Caenorhabditis elegans: one gene and its partners. The protein of the gene in region 2 interacts with the protein of the main gene of each other region in a pairwise test. Each region holds a gene or a part of one and is shown on either strand. Other genes may lie near its edges.

Region 1 (6,227 bases), 2.5 Mb from region 2:
CGTTGTTCATATGGAATAGTAAATGGAATTGCTGACAAAAACACGAGTTCAAGGGGATAGGAAAATTCGGAGGCAAAACACATTACAAGGGAATTGGGCTCAGGAAAATAGTAAATTAATTCTAAGCAAAGTTCAGGTCAAACCTACATGTATGCATCACAATTAAGAAAAGCGTTACGTGAGATTTGGGGTCTGATAAAACTACAAAATAAGCAAGGCAATGAAACGGAGTACAGATTGAACGAGAAACAGGCACCATGTAAAGCGAAATCAGAAAATTGAATGAAAGAAGACGTGTATAATGCACGATATTGAAATTTCAGTTTAGAAAAACGAAAGGTGCTTCACGTTATAATTATGAGCTTCAATTTAAAATAAAATGGTTTCTTTTTTAATTCACGTTCTAGTGCTTCAATAAGGGCGCCTACATGCCTGCCTGCTTCCAAGGAAAATTCGCCTAGCGCATGCCAACTGCCAGACCACACATGAATTTTCACTTCAGGATGAGTTGGAGCTACGAAAAAAAACTCAAAAACTTTGATCGAACAGTTTTTTTTTATTTCTCGATATTCAAAAACCCCAAGCTTACACACTCCACTTTTAATATTATAAAAACGGCAGAAAATGATACGTGAACAGGAATAACGGGAATATCTAGAAAACGATAGTACATAAATTAAATGAAACAAAGTGCAAATCTATTGCATCTCCTGATTTACTGAAGATGAAGAAGGCAAAGCCTGTCCTTTGAGCACAAGAGCAATATCACGACGGAATCGAGTGAGGTTTTGTGTGAATGTGTCCTTATTTTTAACTGTCAAATTCATCTCCACGTTAGACATCAGTTGAGTGAAAAGCATATCAAAATCTGCTTGACGATCGTATGTTTGTTGGGATGTCAACTCGCGCTTCATATCAGAGTATACGTCTTCCTGGATAAGAATCAATCCGAGAAGTGGACGGGAAAGACTCCATTGACATTTCACTTCTCCAAACATCATCAACGTTATCACAGCTTGAAGCATCTGGAAAAAAAAAGACTGTAAATCAATTTATGATAAAGTTATTTTACCTTTGCGAGAATGTCAGGATGTTGCTTGATTGCAATAAGAATATTGTCACCTTCTGGATCCATGCCGACTTTATTCGTTGGTGGCGTCGATCTTGTCAGCCGACGGTACAAATAGTTGAGAATCGTATCCAGTGATGAACAAGCTGATGTTATCACGATTGCATCCACAGAACTAAGTCCCGAGTGAATTGATCGAAGAAGTGCACAAAACACGTCAACCGAGAGATTCGTCACAAACGGCATATTATCTTGAACAACGTGCTCCAAAAGATTATAATGATTTTGTGCTATCTTTGTATAGCTCTGAAAGAACGCATTATTTAATTTTAGCATAGGTCGTAATATGAACTGACGTGGAAATCATCTTGGGGAATACTTGTGAACAACTTCACAAACGTCGTAAGCGCATCCTGAAGACAGGAATCACCATAGAGTCGGAATACTCCAAAAGGTACATAAGCTCCAATAAGCGCATTCTTGAGAATCAAAAAAATCACTCCAATATTCTTGTATCTTTCCTTGTATACTCTGTCTTTCGATACTTCTGGCAGTTGAAGAAGCCTTTCTCCGTAAATCGAAACAATTTTTGAAGTTTCTTTGAAAAGAAGTACAGCTGAGCACGAACTCATTTCGAATTTCAATCGTTGCTGTCGATTTTGAACCATTTCGGAGAGAAGTCGAAGAATTGGAGTAACGACATCAGCACATCCAGGCCATTTTTCTACCGAGAACTGCATAATATTGAACACTTCTGGGTACCTGGAAAGAAAAATAATTGAAAAATAATAAATATTTATAGGAAAAACATACATCCATTCGAATAGAATTTGGAAGATAGTTTTCGTTGTTGATGCTATTGCCACTCCTCGAAGATCTCGACACAGTCCAGTAATAATTTTCTGTAAAAAGTTTGTTTTAGTTTTGAAAACGTTCATTTTTATAACCTTTAATTGTTCTTCTTCAACTCCTTGGCAATTATTCTGGATCACAGTGCAAATTCCTTCAACTGTATCTGAAAAAAGTACATTTGAAAATCAATTGGAATTGAATCTACCTGTAAGAGGACGAAGGAATCTTTGAAGCATTTCCTCGTCGTCCGAATAATCCGTTGTTAAAAGACGCGTTAGTGCTTCGTAAAACGTCGTTCGCTGTTTCATTGTTTGATAATCAATATTTGGACCAAGAAACATGAAATGATCGGCAGTGTGATTGTTCAATAGAAGCTGAACTTCTGGTAAACGGAATAACTTTCGAACTGCAGAATATCCAAGCGATAAATCCTTGAACAAAGATAGGGAAAGATCCAAGAGATCAGAGTTGGACGGCCAGAATTTCAGATTTGTGAGAATCTTTTGTACAATAACACCTAGCATGTCAGACTCTTCCGTAATACGCAGTTCTGCTTCAAGTGTGTCGTAGACTGCACTGGCTCGAGTGATTTGATCCATGATATACGCACGACGGAATTGCTCAAGCATGTGAATAAATGAAACTTCCAGTCGAAGATTTCCTTTCAGTGGAACTGTATTATTTGACAACTGAAGCCGATTATCATTGAATCTCATAACTGTTATACATCGGGCAATGAGTTCTCCGTCCATTTTATCGTGAACATCACTGCTTGTTGCTGTCGTCTTTCCGAACACAGCAGTTCCGATCAATGTAATCAACCAAACGAGACGACCTTCGGCAATCGCTGTATTGGCATCCTGTAAATACAAATTATAAGTTTCAAAAAAAAACAACTAAGTGTCTTACATTTTCAGATCCATTCATCCAGATGTTGGCATTTTGATCAAAGTGTTGAGTGAGAAGTTTACATGTGTTTTCATATTCGCATCTACATATAATCGCAAGATGTTCCATAACTTGAAGGGTTGCTCCTTGATCATCTAATGGATTCTCAGCTCCTTCTCTGACAATGCTCTCAACGTGTTGTAATCGACTCTCGACGAATGCTGTCATGATTTCTGGACAATAAACGTTGAGAAGATGCTCATCATTATTTCGAACATATGGAACAGACGTCACCATTCTCTGCCAGAATGTCATAAGAAAATATGTACTGTTGGCTGAGAACTCCATCATTCGTAGGCTTTGTACAGTGAATTCCGCGAGTAACCTTAGCATGTGACTGTAGCAGGGAACAGCGATGAGCTCGCACAGCTGATAATTTGTTTTCAGACGAGCAATCAAACGGCAAAACTCGTGGAATGCGGCCTAAATCAGGTATATAAATATGTTTGCCTTTAATTTTTCATTATTCTTACCTGGTCACTAAGCTTCCCAGGGTTCATAATTACACTGACAACTCCTTCAACAAGTTTTTGAACGTAAGCCTGTCGCTCTGTTCCATTGAAAAGCGTTCTTCGAATACTTGCCAATTGAGCTATTATTGTCATCACTTTTTCACTTGATTCTTGTGGAAGCACATTTAAAAGTTTGAACATAAGCTGTACAATTTTTCCATCAGTAAAACTTGCTCTCCATGCTGTTGGGATTTGCACATTACAGTTGTCTTCACTTGTTTCGTCTGTCAAACTTCCTATATAATCAAAAAGTAGACATTGGAGATTCAAGTTGAGAACCGCGTGAAGAAGACCCAATTGGCGATCGTTCAGATTTCTGTCCACATTATCGTTCAAAACATTCAGAGATACCGAGAAAATCTCATATAAAAAATCGTCCCTGAACTGCGAAAGATTCTTGCGATGTTTGTTAACTGAATCCATTCCCGAAGCTGAATTCATGTCAGCAACGAGTAAGGTTAACAGTTGCACGGCCAGCATACTTTCCTCGATATTATCCATGTTGATTGTTTTGACAAGGCTATCAACCGGATCACGAAATGGATATTCAATTTTTGTGTCTTCTGTTTGATTTTCTGTGGGATTTTGATACGTCCATTCTTGTTTCGTGAGTCTTGCAAAAAGTTGGCAAAGTGATGTGACGAGATATGGAGGAAATTGAGGTGCACCTTGACCTAGCATTTCCAATAAATATTTTGCAAGCTCGAGCTTCTGAACAGAAGTGATGCTAGTTTTTCCGCCGAGAAGTTTCATTAGTGTGGTGCTTGCTACCATTGGTCCGTATGGGTACTGAAAATCATTATGTAAATTGTTTAACACTTTTATTATTTCGACTTACATCTCCTCGTGCAAAGAGAAGCATGCATCTTTGAAGGCATTCGGGTGACTCTGACAGTTCCGCAAGGTTACTCTCGGCTCGGTGTCGGGCTTGCGGATCGACACTCTCATATAGATCTTTGCATAGACTGTTTAGTACCTAAAATAAGATTAGAATGCACATTAAGAATTTTGAAAATGCTAACCGGTAATTCATCCATTTTTGAAGACTTCGAATCCGCTGTTCAGCGATTCACTCCTAAAATATCCAATTCAGAAGTAATTATAGCTTGAGAAAGAGGAGAAAAATGTTTTGAAAAGCAAAAAGAATGTTTAAAACGGATAAAATTAATTCGGCGTCTTCCCACCGTTAATTGTTTCGAAAAACTGCAAACTTTGGTGATGATTTGAGTTTCTGAAAGACGAAACATCTTGTCCTGGTGAAGTACACGGCGGATGGCCGATAAAAAAGTTAGGCCATCCTTTCTCATCCTACTCTACATCCCACAGGCTCTCTCGCCACAATTGGCATCTTTTGGCAGTTTCCACTATTTTCAGAATTCGTTATCTGTTTTCTGATAACAAAAACAAGAAAAACAGAATCTTTACGACTACTTCTTTATTTATCCGCTCTAACCACTCATTCTACGCAGATTTTGAATGGCAGAGCGGTGAGTTTTGAAATTTAATCTGTAGTACAACATGCAGTTGGAAATGCCAAAAATATCAATAATTTCAGAGATAAAGATGAAATCTTTAGTTTAAAAAGTTATCAACGTCCAATTGTCTATCATTCTGAATATAATGTAACTGCATTTGGAATCGAACATTTACATCCATTTGATTCTTCGAAATGGAGAAGAGTCATTACACATTTGAAAGAAATGAATCTGATCACTGATGAAACACTCGTTGAGCCAAATCTACCGACATTTGAAGAACTCACTAGAGTACATGATAGAAAGTAGGCACATGAAAGTGTTGTGAATGTGATTGAATCGTGGAATTGGTTTATGAAAAAATCATGTTTGTATGGCCCCATACTTAAATTGAAAGAAAATAATTAAGCTCATAACGTTTATAGTTGACATTCTAAAAAAAAGTTAGATGAGGCGTTCAACAATTTCAACTAATAAAAAAAATTTATTCATATTATTTTAGATATCTGAAAAGTGTTCGAAATCCTATTAAAGCAGCACAAATCGTCGAGATTCCATTTGTCGGTTGCCTTCCACCGTGCATTATTGAAAGCAAGTTATTGCATCCACTACGGTATCATTCCTAGTAATTGTTGTATTCATTTATTTGTGTTTTCCAGTTTACAAGCCGGTGGAACAGTTTTAGCTGCCAATTTGGCTCTAAAACATGGTTGGGCGATCAACGTGGGTGGTGGTTTCCATCATGCTTCTCGTATGTTTTTGTTATTCCGCAAGAAAAATAGACGCTATGGGATTGTACAGCAGCCTATAATTTCAGATTCGGGCGGAGGTGGATTCTGTTTTTACGCTGATATCACCATGGCAATTTTCGATTTGTTTGACAAAAAGGCAATTGCCAACGCGATTGTTGTAGATTTAGATGCTCATCAGGTACTGGAAAAAACATTTGAAAGAATATAAAATACCGTATATTTTCTATTGATGCGTGCGGCACCTTCACTGCTCAACTTTGACAGCATATAACTCAAAGGAACACGTGTAGTCAGAAAATCCCATTCCGCTTTGATCTTCGAAAAATGCGGGAGTTGAGACGCAGACATCTCATTTGATTTGGAATGGTTAAGAACGTGCTGACGTCACAATTTTTCTGGGAAAAAGTCCCGCATGTTTTGTAGATCAAACCGCAATGAGACAGTCTGACATCACATGAAGGAAGTATTTTGCCTAAAATCATAGATGGCCGATATCTGAGCTTTCAAAGTTAGAATTGTCCTCAAATTTTAGCTACCTTACAGTTACGTTAAGAATTCTATAGACTACGGTATCATTTTGGAAAACCATTTGGAACGTGAATGAAATATGTCTAGCCCG
Region 2 (7,324 bases):
ATTGTGTCTTGAAATAATTATCGGTGTTTGGACTTACATTGGTAACGTAGTTCTATTGCAAACATTTGTAGATAGAATTATTACTGTAATTGGAAGTTTGAACTTTTGAATGTTCCTATTACCCTACCAGTTAATATCAGAAAAATTACAAATAACCGAGTTTTGAACATTTTCGTAAGAAGTGAGGGTGTTGGTGGTTGAATTTCGGTCATTTAGTAAAGCTGAAAGAAGAAGAGATGAAACAGGAGTAGTTACAAAATGCATGTTTCGATGTTTCGTAATTGATGTGATCCCTTTCCAATACATCGAATCACAGCATGAGTCCAACATGTATGGGCTGCACATTTTTGTCCCAAAAGAACATCAAGTGTAATTTTGTTTTCAAACATACCTCAAGTCTGCCTACGTACCTTCCCATATTTGCCTACGAGCCTATCTCATGCCTACCTACTTGCCTAAACTTTTGTTAGTGTCAAAAATTACCTTTTGCACCACAGCAACACAGCATGGGTCCGACGATTCAATAGTAAAACCAAGTGTACATTTTTTAAAGTTTTATTTTAACCATCATAATTTTTTTGAAAAGAAAGAACATGAAATGCGAGCAATTTTTGTTTGGAAGCGAAGGAAATGAGAAAAAGAAAGAAAAACATGAATAGAATACGTTAATGGATAGAATCACAGGAAATTGTTTGATGTACTTACAAGGGAAGTCTTTGAGGGGGTCCGTAGATTTGGGGTTCTCATGCTAAAATTCCTACAGAAGAGTGTTAGTTATGATCTCTCCAAAAAATTTAGCTGCCCCGGTCAAGTTTCAGCAAAGTTATGACGTTTTGAAAATTCAGTTAAAAACACCATTGAAATCCACTGTCTTACCATGCAGTCCACGCAAATCTCAGCTTGCGTGACCACCGAAAATGTGACACCCACAACATTGAGTTGAAAAATGTCCTCGGTGGCCGAGTTGGGAGTGCGCGCGTCTGATAAGATTTAAGCTTTGGTTCGATTCCTTCTATTTTTGTAAGTTGAATAAAGTTGTAAAACAACTCATTCAAACATTTTTGCGCATTTTTAAAGTGATTTTATTCTTATTCGGGAACCTAGAATCATTGTCCGCACTTTTTGGAAATTTTTATTTTTTTCATTTTTGCTCAAAATTTCTTGATCAACTCCAAGCAAAAAAATCAAAAAATTTCATTTTTCTAAACAATTATGAAATTGCTATGTTGTTGTTCAGAAATGTATGAAACGTACATTACACAAGTTTTAACTCTCTATTCGCAAGTAAACCGTCGAAATGATCTACATCTCACGAACTTTGTGCAAAATATTTAACCAACTTTGAAGTTGCATAACTTCATTGAGATAAATTATTGTGAAAAATGATCAACTAACAAAATGTTTGTTGAATAACAGTGAACAAAGTTTTAGTTATAAACTTTTTGATACCTCCAGCTACAAAGAAGAAAACAAGGTTGGCATTTGGCTAGTTTTTCTATTAACATTGTGTTTTGGAAAACGGTCACAACTTTTTGGTGGCTGAAGGTATCAAAAAGTTTATAACTAAAACTTTGTTCACTGTTATTCAACAAACATTTTGTTAGTTGATCATTTTTCACAATAATTTATCTCAACGAAGTTATGCAACTTCAAAGTTGGTTAAATATTTTGCACAAAGTTCGTGAGATGTAGATCATTTCGACGGTTTACTTGCGAATAGAGAGTTAAAACTTGTGTAATGTACGTTTCATACATTTCTGAACAACAACATAGCAATTTCATAATTGTTTAGAAAAATGAAATTTTTTGATTTTTTTGCTTGGAGTTGATCAAGAAATTTTGAGCAAAAATGAAAAAAATAAAAATTTCCAAAAAGTGCGGACAATGATTCTAGGTTCCCGAATAAGAATAAAATCACTTTAAAAAGGCGCAAAAATGTTTGAATAGGTTGTTTAAAACTTTATTCAACTTACAAAAATATTTCAAAAATAGAAGGAATCGAACCAAAGCCTAAATCTTATCAGACGCGCGCACTCCCAACTCGGCCACCGAGGACATTTTTCAACTCAATGTGGTGGGTGTCACATTTTCGGTGGTCACGCAAGCTGAGATTTGCGTGGATTGCATGGTAAGACAGTGGATTTCAATGGTGTTTTTAACTGAAATTTCAAAACGTCATAACTTTGCTGAAACTTGACCGGGGCAGCTAAATTTTTTGGAGAGATCATAACTAACACTCTTCTGTAGGAATTTTAGCATGAGAACCCCAAATCTACGGACCTCCTCAAAGACTTCCCTTGTTAGGATTTGATACAAATGGGGTCGAATAAAACAGTTTTAATTACAAAAATGTGAAATACAAGTAGGGTGATCTCTACTACAAAACGAAGCGAGTTTCTTGTTACCAGTCAGCAAAATCGTCCATTTTCTTTTCTACAGATGCCAATTTCATTGCTCCGGCAGATTTTTTGCGATCCATTTGTTCTTTGCGACGAGCTTCATTTCTAGCCTGCATCTCGGCTCGACGAGCATCTGGAAAATGAAAAATGCAAGCGGATTGTTATTCTCCAACAACGGTGACCGTACCTTTATCATCCTTCATTTTCGTTGGTTGGAGTACTGCAGTTGGCTGAAGCACATTGCTTGACATACTGTTATCACCCCATCCATCATCGTCCCATCCTTTGTTAGCTGATGAATTATTAGTTGTTGGTAAAGGATCATCGAATCCCCATCCTGAAAATATACATGTTTTCAGATAACATTAAAAAAAGATCAAACAAGTTTCATAACTAAATTCTACGTGAGAAAATAAAACATATGCTAAGGAAATAATATTTACCAGTATTTGTAGAAGAGGAAGAATTGTTCATGAGAGCATTCAGCGAATTCGGCTTGACTGAAGATCCCGCAGCTGGAGGTGCTGATATTCCGAGAAGTGCATCAATATTGTCATCAATAGCTTTTTTGGTTTGTTTCTGAGCAGATGATCCTGCCAGATTCGATCCTAAGTTTAATCGTCCAATTGTTGGCTTCTTCGCGGCTGCAGACGAACTAGATGATGACTTTTTGACTCCAGGAATGGGAGATGATGTGGCAGTTGCTATCTGAAATAAGACAATATGGTTTAAGTAAATAAAACCTTAATTCTTACTGGAGTATCCCAACCAACTCCCCAGTCATCAGCATCATTAGACTTCGTGTTGATATCAGCCCAATCATCAATAGCAGAATCATTTGAATCCTTCACTGCGAACATATCTCCTCCATCTGTTAAATCTCCCCAACCATCATTTGTTGCAGGTTTAGCAGGGGTTGGTTTGAGAACTGTGCTTGATTTTTCTGAAAATAAAAATATTAACAACTTATTGAAAAAATTGCAGAACAAACCTTTCTCCGCCGTTGGGTTAGGTGTTACTGGTCTTGAGGAAGTATCAGCAGTAGCTGGCGCTCCTGGTTTGACTTCTGCTGGAGGTGGTCCCTTATAAAACTTTCCAGATAATGACTTGAGAGCCCAACTTGCCCATTGTGGAACTTTCTCGTGGTCCAGAATAGAACTTGCTCCGGCTTTAACTCCAGCTTCGAGTTCAGGAATGCAAGCTGGATTTTCAGATGCTTTTTCAAGTTTTTCAAGGAATCCACGAATAGCCTTGAATGCTTGATCTCTAACTTGTTTTTCAGGATCACAAGTCAACGGAATGAGACTCGGAACAATTCGGTTGGAAATTTCAACGAGTGGATAGAACTGTTGAGTTGCAGAAAGCGCTAGAACTGAAGCCATTCTTGATGGTGCAAACGGATCCTTCAGAGCTCTAGTAAATGCGCTTATTAATATTCCTTGTCGTTTAGCAGGTGCAATCAGGTGTCCGATCTTCCCGAGGCAAATGGTAGTGTTGGTTCGAATACCTCCATGCTCATCTCCTCCTTGTAAACGGGCAAGATACTTCATCAATTCGACATTTAAATTATTGTAGTTGAGTTTCTCTGCCAATGAAACCATTGCTTTGACTGTACTTTCGCGAACTGCTGGATTTGTGTCCAAGAAACCAGATGTTAAATTTCTGAAATTAAACATTTAAATAAGAATTTCAGATTTCAGAGAAAAAATCTAACCCAAATATTTTGTCGTTCAAAATTTGTGGAGTCAAATGAGGTGCAAATTCATCGATTCTTTCTAACAACTTGACTCTTGTAGTTCTATCTGGACTGCCAAAAAGTTTGCACAAACATGGAACAATTGTTCTCTGATATTCTGCTTCATCAAGAAGACGTCCAAGTTTGAACAGAGGAATTAAAATATTCGGTCCTGCATCTCCATATTCATAGGTAAGAATAAGTTTTGGAAGAATTTTATATTTTGCTACGTCTTCTGGGAAGATATCAATATTTTCTCGAAGATGCATGAAGAACGATTGTTTTTCGCTAGCTTCCTTCAGTTCGAATTCTTCCAGGAAAAGTAGAGTATCCACGAATTTATTCTTCAAGTATCCCCCAGTGAGTCGATATTCTGAAATCTTTGAAACTGAATAAAAACAACAAAATTAATTTTGGATTATCTTTAATAATATCACAAACTGCAAGTCGTGCAGCTGATTGTGCTCCAATTTTTTTGTATAATTCGTGTATCCGTTGTGGTATCTTCCCTGGAGCCTGTGGTCTTGTGATAGCGTCATTGAATCCATTGAAAACTTCCCATAAAACAATTGCTAATTGATTTAAATCTGTCTGTGGACTAGTGAATCCAGTGACCAAATGAAGTCCACCAATTTTCCAATCTCCTCCGGCTGTTACAAATACTCCTTTACGCAGATTTTCGTGACTTAGTTTAGCTTCGTGCATAAATTTTAGAGCGTTCTGAACAAAAATAGATTATTTGTAAGTTTACAACTATTAAAAAACATACTAATAACTGAAACATTCCCCAGGAAACAACAAATTCTTTTTGGCTTTCAGTGAGACCGGCTTCCTTTAAATACAGCTCCAGTGGTTTACATTTTTCCGTGACGAGGTAGAAAGTTCCTTCTAGCTGAAAAATCCGTTCGTGTGAAGTCATCAAATTGCGAAAACCCACTTCAATACTATCTAAATAAGTGATAATGTTAGGATGGCGCATGGTTTTCAGCTTTTGTGCTTGTTGTTTTAACGTTGAACTTCGGTTGTCCCAGAAGATTGTTGCGAGTTCACCGGGTTCAGCCTACAATATTTATTGAAAATATTCATTGAACAGCTAAAAATGCAAAAACTCACTTTCTTAAAGCTATTTCCGATCGAAACTCGATCGAAAAAGTGTTCTTCTGCTCCAGGAATGTCATATGGGAATTGGGACTTCGGATCCCGTTGGAAGAAGGATGACAACACCGATGCCATCCCTAAAAGTGATCGAAATTTATAAAATAATCTCTCCGTAAAATTGAAACGCTGGAAAACCGGTCGGGTTACGTGGAAATCGAATTTGAACACATTTAATAGAAAAAGGGGCAAGATTGTCACTACTGACGCATCGATTGCAGTTTCTCTGCGTCTCGTCTCTCTTTCACTCACTTTAAAAGATGAGAATAGACTCATTCTCGTTTATTTTGGCTTTGTTTTTCCTAGTTTCTCTGGTTTCTCAATGAATTTATATAAATCTTACCGAAAATAGTGAAATGCGATAGAACTGAAACATAATAATGTTTTATCAAATTACTAGAGCTTCAGTTTACATTTAGTTTTTCAGAATGTCTAGAAATGATCTGGTATTTAATGAAAAACATTGAAAGAGACAAAGAAAAATATATTCGAAAATGATTCAAAAGAATTTTAAAAACCAGTGACTGTACTTCTCGTGCCGATGCCCATCACTTTGGTCGCATCTGCGCCTTTAAAATCTACAGTACCCTTGCTCAAAATTCTTCGATAATTTTTTTAGCTCTCACTATTTAGTCAGCACTTTTCCTTTTTTTCCATATCTTTTAATGATTTTTCTCCTCGTATATATTAAATTCCTTCTATTTTTGATCGTTTGATCACAATAATGCTTCTGGAATGTCAGTCACAAAATAGTACACCTTCGAAAACGCGATAAAGGTGGGAAATTCCGTGATGACAACATTTTTTGGCTCGCAAATCAAGTTCTGCACAGCCCCGCGTGTAAGTGTGAATATTTGTGTGTATGTCTTACACCTGATAACACATTTCTCTGAAAACTGACGACCTAATCGCCTCCGGCCTGAACCAACATGCCCTATGGTGTCGAATGATGCAAAGCGCTCGAAAATTTATAGTTTCGAACTTTCATATTCCCATTTCTAATTCAAAAAATTTGCGGAATTTTTTCCCATACTCATTTTATAGAAAAAGACCAGAACGTCAACCAGTCTTCCGCTAAAATGTGTATAAACGGGTCAGTGTTTATCAATAGACAGCCCGAAAACTCACTCGACCAATACTGCTTTTTTCGAGATTTCTAAGCGGAAAATGGAAATCGATTTGTTGTCATGTGATGTTTGCTGCGAAACGTTCGCGAAAATTAATTGTTTCCGTTTCTATCAAAAGAACAAAATTCAATGTATCCGTTTCTATAATTACAAAAGAACGCATTGTTACAGAATAGGTTTTTTTGTCAATTTTGTATGCTTTGCAATCTTTTTGCGCTCAAATTTCTGATCATTTTACTGTGAGACCATTCTCTGATTCTTCCGCAAAATAAAAATTTCGACATCGACCTCGACGTTTATTTAAATAAGTTCTAATATCATTATTTTCATGACGTGTGCTCAGGTTTTCCTTGAAATCTAATTATAAGTCACATATTTCTCTAATTTCCTCTGGAAAAGTCTCGAAATTTGGCGCCATCAGGAAACCTACGTCAATTTCATTTTCTCCGAATCTCCGCCCACTTTCTATCATTTATAGCGACTAGTCGCTCCAAAAGTTTCAGTGTCTGCCGGTGATTTCAGTGCTCTCCCATGCTTGTACAAACACGCAATAAATTATAAATCAAATTAGCAGACAGCCGACTTGACGGCGTTTATCAGCCTGTCAGTCAGCCAGCTGAGAGAGTAGATGACATCGCAGATGTGTCCCTCCTTTTCCTTGTTTCAACATATGCTACTGATAAGCGTTAATTAAAGACGCACATCGTTTTTCATTTAATGATTTTTATTCCAGAATTGCGTGCACATGACTGAATTGAACTCTTTTCGTTCAATGAGCGCAGTATTTTCTATTTATGGCTTTATCGAAAAGAACTAGCCTGCCATCTCTTTTGCTCCTACAAACTTCATAACCACTTCTCTTCAAACCTTGAAACTCAATTTCTTATATATCCTCCTTCTTCCCGCCT
Region 3 (3,233 bases), on a different chromosome or scaffold from region 2:
CGTCGGGAATGGTTCCAAGGAGACGGTATGGTCCGTCGTAAGAACCTCCCAATTGAGTACAACCCATAGGATCTGTGAACTTCCAAAATTTCAATAAATTTTCATTGATAGTTCGTTTTTTGTTTTTTTACTTGAACAGATTTTCAGAGATTTTCAAACGAGATAATATTGTCATGCTCGAAAAAAGAGCTTCCTTTCCACTAGTTTGAGCATTTTCCTCTGGATTAGCTGGCTCGACACTGCAATGTTTCTTCGATCAGTTCTTTTAAAAAAACCGAACTTTAACATTTCTGCAGGTTCTGCCGAAATGATTCCAAAAGAAGCCTGGAATTTTTGGTTTCTGTTTGCATTGCAAAGTGGTTTAAATTTCTGCAGTATCTGCATACTAAAATATTGCCAAAATTCCCAATAACTCTATTAAGTGTCTCTGTAATAATATTCTTTTTTTAGATTGTTGCCGTTTTAAGGAAATAAACTAAATTGCAATTAATTTTCTTGATTCAATTACTTCCCGCACTTCGATGTAGTGTTTTGATGTATTGAATCATGAAATTACTTTATTTTCAACAAAAAAGTTGGTAAAGTGTTCCTAGAATTAAAATGGTGTAACTGGACGAGTCTCAACCCATTTTTTGATATTTGGAATAGAATGAATCTTCTTTTGATGAGCCTTGAGTTCTGGGAATTCGTCTAGAAGTGATTGACTGGCAGCAAACACAGATCCACTGTCACTGAGAAGATCTGATGTATGTTGAGCAATCAACAGATCAACCCAGGTGACAGAGTCACCGATCAAGAATCCAGATCCACTGGCTTTAAGGAAATTGGTGAAGAATTGGTAGTTTTTCTTGAAATTTGGAAGGAATGTGTCCTTGTAAAGAGCATCGGCATCTCCTTGTGCAAATCCCATTTTCACGAGATTATAAGATCGGATGTCATTGAGATAATCTTTGAATTGATCTGCAATTGCATTCACTTGAGCTTCTTCCCATGGACATCTTCCATTTATTCCAAATTGGCGAGCAAGAAAACGAGAAATTGCATGGGATTGTCCAAGTGGTTTCCCATCCTGATAAAGGACAGGAAGAGTTCCGAACGGCATAGCTGGAAATATAGAAAATTCAATACAACATTTTTAGACATAAAAAAATTAAATTAGAAAAACCTGTACACAAATATCCCGCCAGCCTCGCAATTAAAAGTGATCGTATTTGTTATTCTATTACATGGAAGATACTTTAACATATATCTCGATTTTGGAACTATACATATTTCATTTCAAAGAGCACCTTCTAAATAGGTCCCTACAAAAAAGTTAGATTTATACGGGAACTTTGAACCAAAAAAGGTAGTTCTGAGATTGCTTTCAGGTCAGTTTTTGTGAACAAAAATCAATGATTTATAATAAGACCCAGAATATTGGTGTCAGGTCTAATCAAGATTTTATCAAGTGGATCTCGCCACGCCCACAGCGGTTAGAGCGGCACAACATTTTAATCACGAATAAATAGTATTTTGAAAAAAAAAGTTTCAAAAACTCACTCGACTTGAGAGCTGGCCAATCAGCCTGTGGAATCCGGTGATCCTCAAACTTTTGCCCGGCATATGCCAGAATCTGTCGTGGAATTTCTCCAGCAAATCGAATTGGAAAATATGAAAGTTTATAGTGGACCATAGTGTGTTTGGAGTCGAATGATGAAAGACCAATTCAAACATTCTCTTTTATACTGTCTCCTTCATTCAATTTGTTTGTCATTCTCATCGTGTTTTTTTTTCGAAGTAAGGCGGCATTAAAAATGTACGAGAAAGGTTGCCAAAATGATGACAATTGCTTGGAATTGGGAGAAAATCGAGGAAACTAGAGACGCGTCTTGCCACATTTATCATCCTTGCTAATATTAAGGTGTGATTCTGTTGGTCTTACGTGATTTGAGAATGCTCTTTTTTATAGTCAGCATATTTGAGACACTAGTGTAATAATGAAGAATTGAGAACAGTTCATATCTAACAAAATGACTATTACAATGTAAACTTTAATTAATAAAAAAAATTAATTTAAATTTCCGTTCTTCACTAATTACCTGGCAATTTACGAAAAAATACGGTACCCGGTCTCGAAACGACCAACTAGATTTAAAGGAGTACTGTAGATCTCGCAATTGTCTTGGATTTGTTGTTATTTTCATAATTTACATCAAAATTGGAATTCAGAGCTGAAGACATGAAGAGTACGTACAGTTTTGCTTACCGAACAAAAAATATACGATTATTTTTAATACTTTTTGGTCCAATTTACTCGTCTAGTGGCCCTTCCCACAAAGTCGACTCCAACGCTGCGTCTCCGTTCTCTCGCTTGCATCCAATGGAGCGCACTTACATTAAATTTTATTTATTGAATTTTTATCGGTTTTGCCATGTATTTTTTAGTTTTAATTCCTCTAACTTTCTACAATTTAGTAAACTTTTTTGTTTTTAGATGGCTGCAATTATAGGTGGAGGACCACGAAAACCGCCAAGAATCATACGAAAAAATGTAGCGCTTAAACATACGCGGAAAGGTATAAAAATATTGTTTTTAGTCGCAGAAGTCATAATTCAAATCATTATAGATGTTCGAGACGACGAAGGTGAAAAAGTTAAACGAGAAGGATATGAAGTACAATCAGGAGTATTGACTGTAAATGAGGTAGATTTGTTATTTAATTTAAGTATTAAATTATTGTAGGAAAAATTATTAATATTCAGAATCACCCATCCAACTTCAAACCGAAGAAATTGCCAGGAATCGCTAACGATGTCGAATCTTATCCATGCCGATTTTGTGAGGAGAAAATTTTTTTGACTGCATCAGGACTTGAAAAGCATGGAAGAGAGTGTCACCTGCAGAATTTAGACGATATCATGCTAGATATTAATACAATTTGTGGAGAATGGAAGAAAAGAGAGGTATTTTAAATTTAGAAAATTGTAACTTTTTTTAAAACAAAATAAAGATTTCAGTTCGAACGGCTCCGATCTCGCGATCGACTAACAATGGATAAAATGAGACACGAAGCAAGAGCACATCAACTTGTAAAAGCTGTTCTTGCTGGAAGTAAGTAAAATTAGAAAAAAATAAATAAATATATAATAAAATGTACATTTTAAGATCAGCCGACTGTAGGAGGAGAACAATATGAAGCTTGTACAATCTGTAATATGCTCGTCAACATAGCACATCCAACAGCCATGGA

Evidence for each region. The genes of interacting proteins can lie anywhere in the genome.
Region 1: the proteins of scyl-1 (region 2) and xpo-7 interact in a two-hybrid assay, tested with the Caenorhabditis elegans proteins (one large-scale study listed by BioGRID).
Region 3: the proteins of scyl-1 (region 2) and gst-30 interact in a two-hybrid assay, tested with the Caenorhabditis elegans proteins (one large-scale study listed by BioGRID).

What each region holds. Positions count from the first base shown.
Region 1 is NC_003283.11:10,521,453-10,527,679, forward strand, and holds xpo-7 (Exportin-7), read right to left. Parts: upstream 4,457-6,227; 5' UTR 4,419-4,456; coding exon 4,404-4,418; intron 4,358-4,403; coding exon 4,220-4,357; intron 4,171-4,219; coding exon 3,343-4,170; intron 3,293-3,342; coding exon 2,831-3,292; intron 2,782-2,830; coding exon 2,127-2,781; intron 2,085-2,126; coding exon 2,017-2,084; intron 1,972-2,016; coding exon 1,883-1,971; intron 1,832-1,882; coding exon 1,426-1,831; intron 1,376-1,425; coding exon 1,073-1,375; intron 1,026-1,072; coding exon 699-1,025; 3' UTR 542-698; downstream 1-541. Other genes in the region: hda-11 (Histone deacetylase 11), read left to right, coding at 4,858-4,868, 4,937-5,161, 5,359-5,469, 5,516-5,607, 5,674-5,786.
Region 2 is NC_003283.11:13,036,355-13,043,678, forward strand, and holds scyl-1 (Protein kinase domain-containing protein), read right to left. Parts: upstream 5,368-7,324; coding exon 5,248-5,367; intron 5,195-5,247; coding exon 5,072-5,194; intron 5,027-5,071; coding exon 4,904-5,026; intron 4,855-4,903; coding exon 4,557-4,854; intron 4,508-4,556; coding exon 4,114-4,507; intron 4,062-4,113; coding exon 3,391-4,061; intron 3,343-3,390; coding exon 3,155-3,342; intron 3,108-3,154; coding exon 2,843-3,107; intron 2,737-2,842; coding exon 2,587-2,736; intron 2,533-2,586; coding exon 2,402-2,532; 3' UTR 540-2,401; downstream 1-539. Other genes in the region: W07G4.2 (L-Fucosyltransferase), read right to left, coding at 38-83, 128-212.
Region 3 is NC_003280.10:4,933,342-4,936,574, forward strand, and holds gst-30 (glutathione transferase), read right to left. Parts: upstream 1,714-3,233; 5' UTR 1,676-1,713; coding exon 1,543-1,675; intron 1,105-1,542; coding exon 596-1,104; 3' UTR 542-595; downstream 1-541. Other genes in the region: msp-152 (Major sperm protein 152), read left to right, coding at 1-69; ZK546.5 (C2H2-type domain-containing protein), read left to right, coding at 2,477-2,558, 2,610-2,686, 2,746-2,946, 3,001-3,094, 3,149-3,233.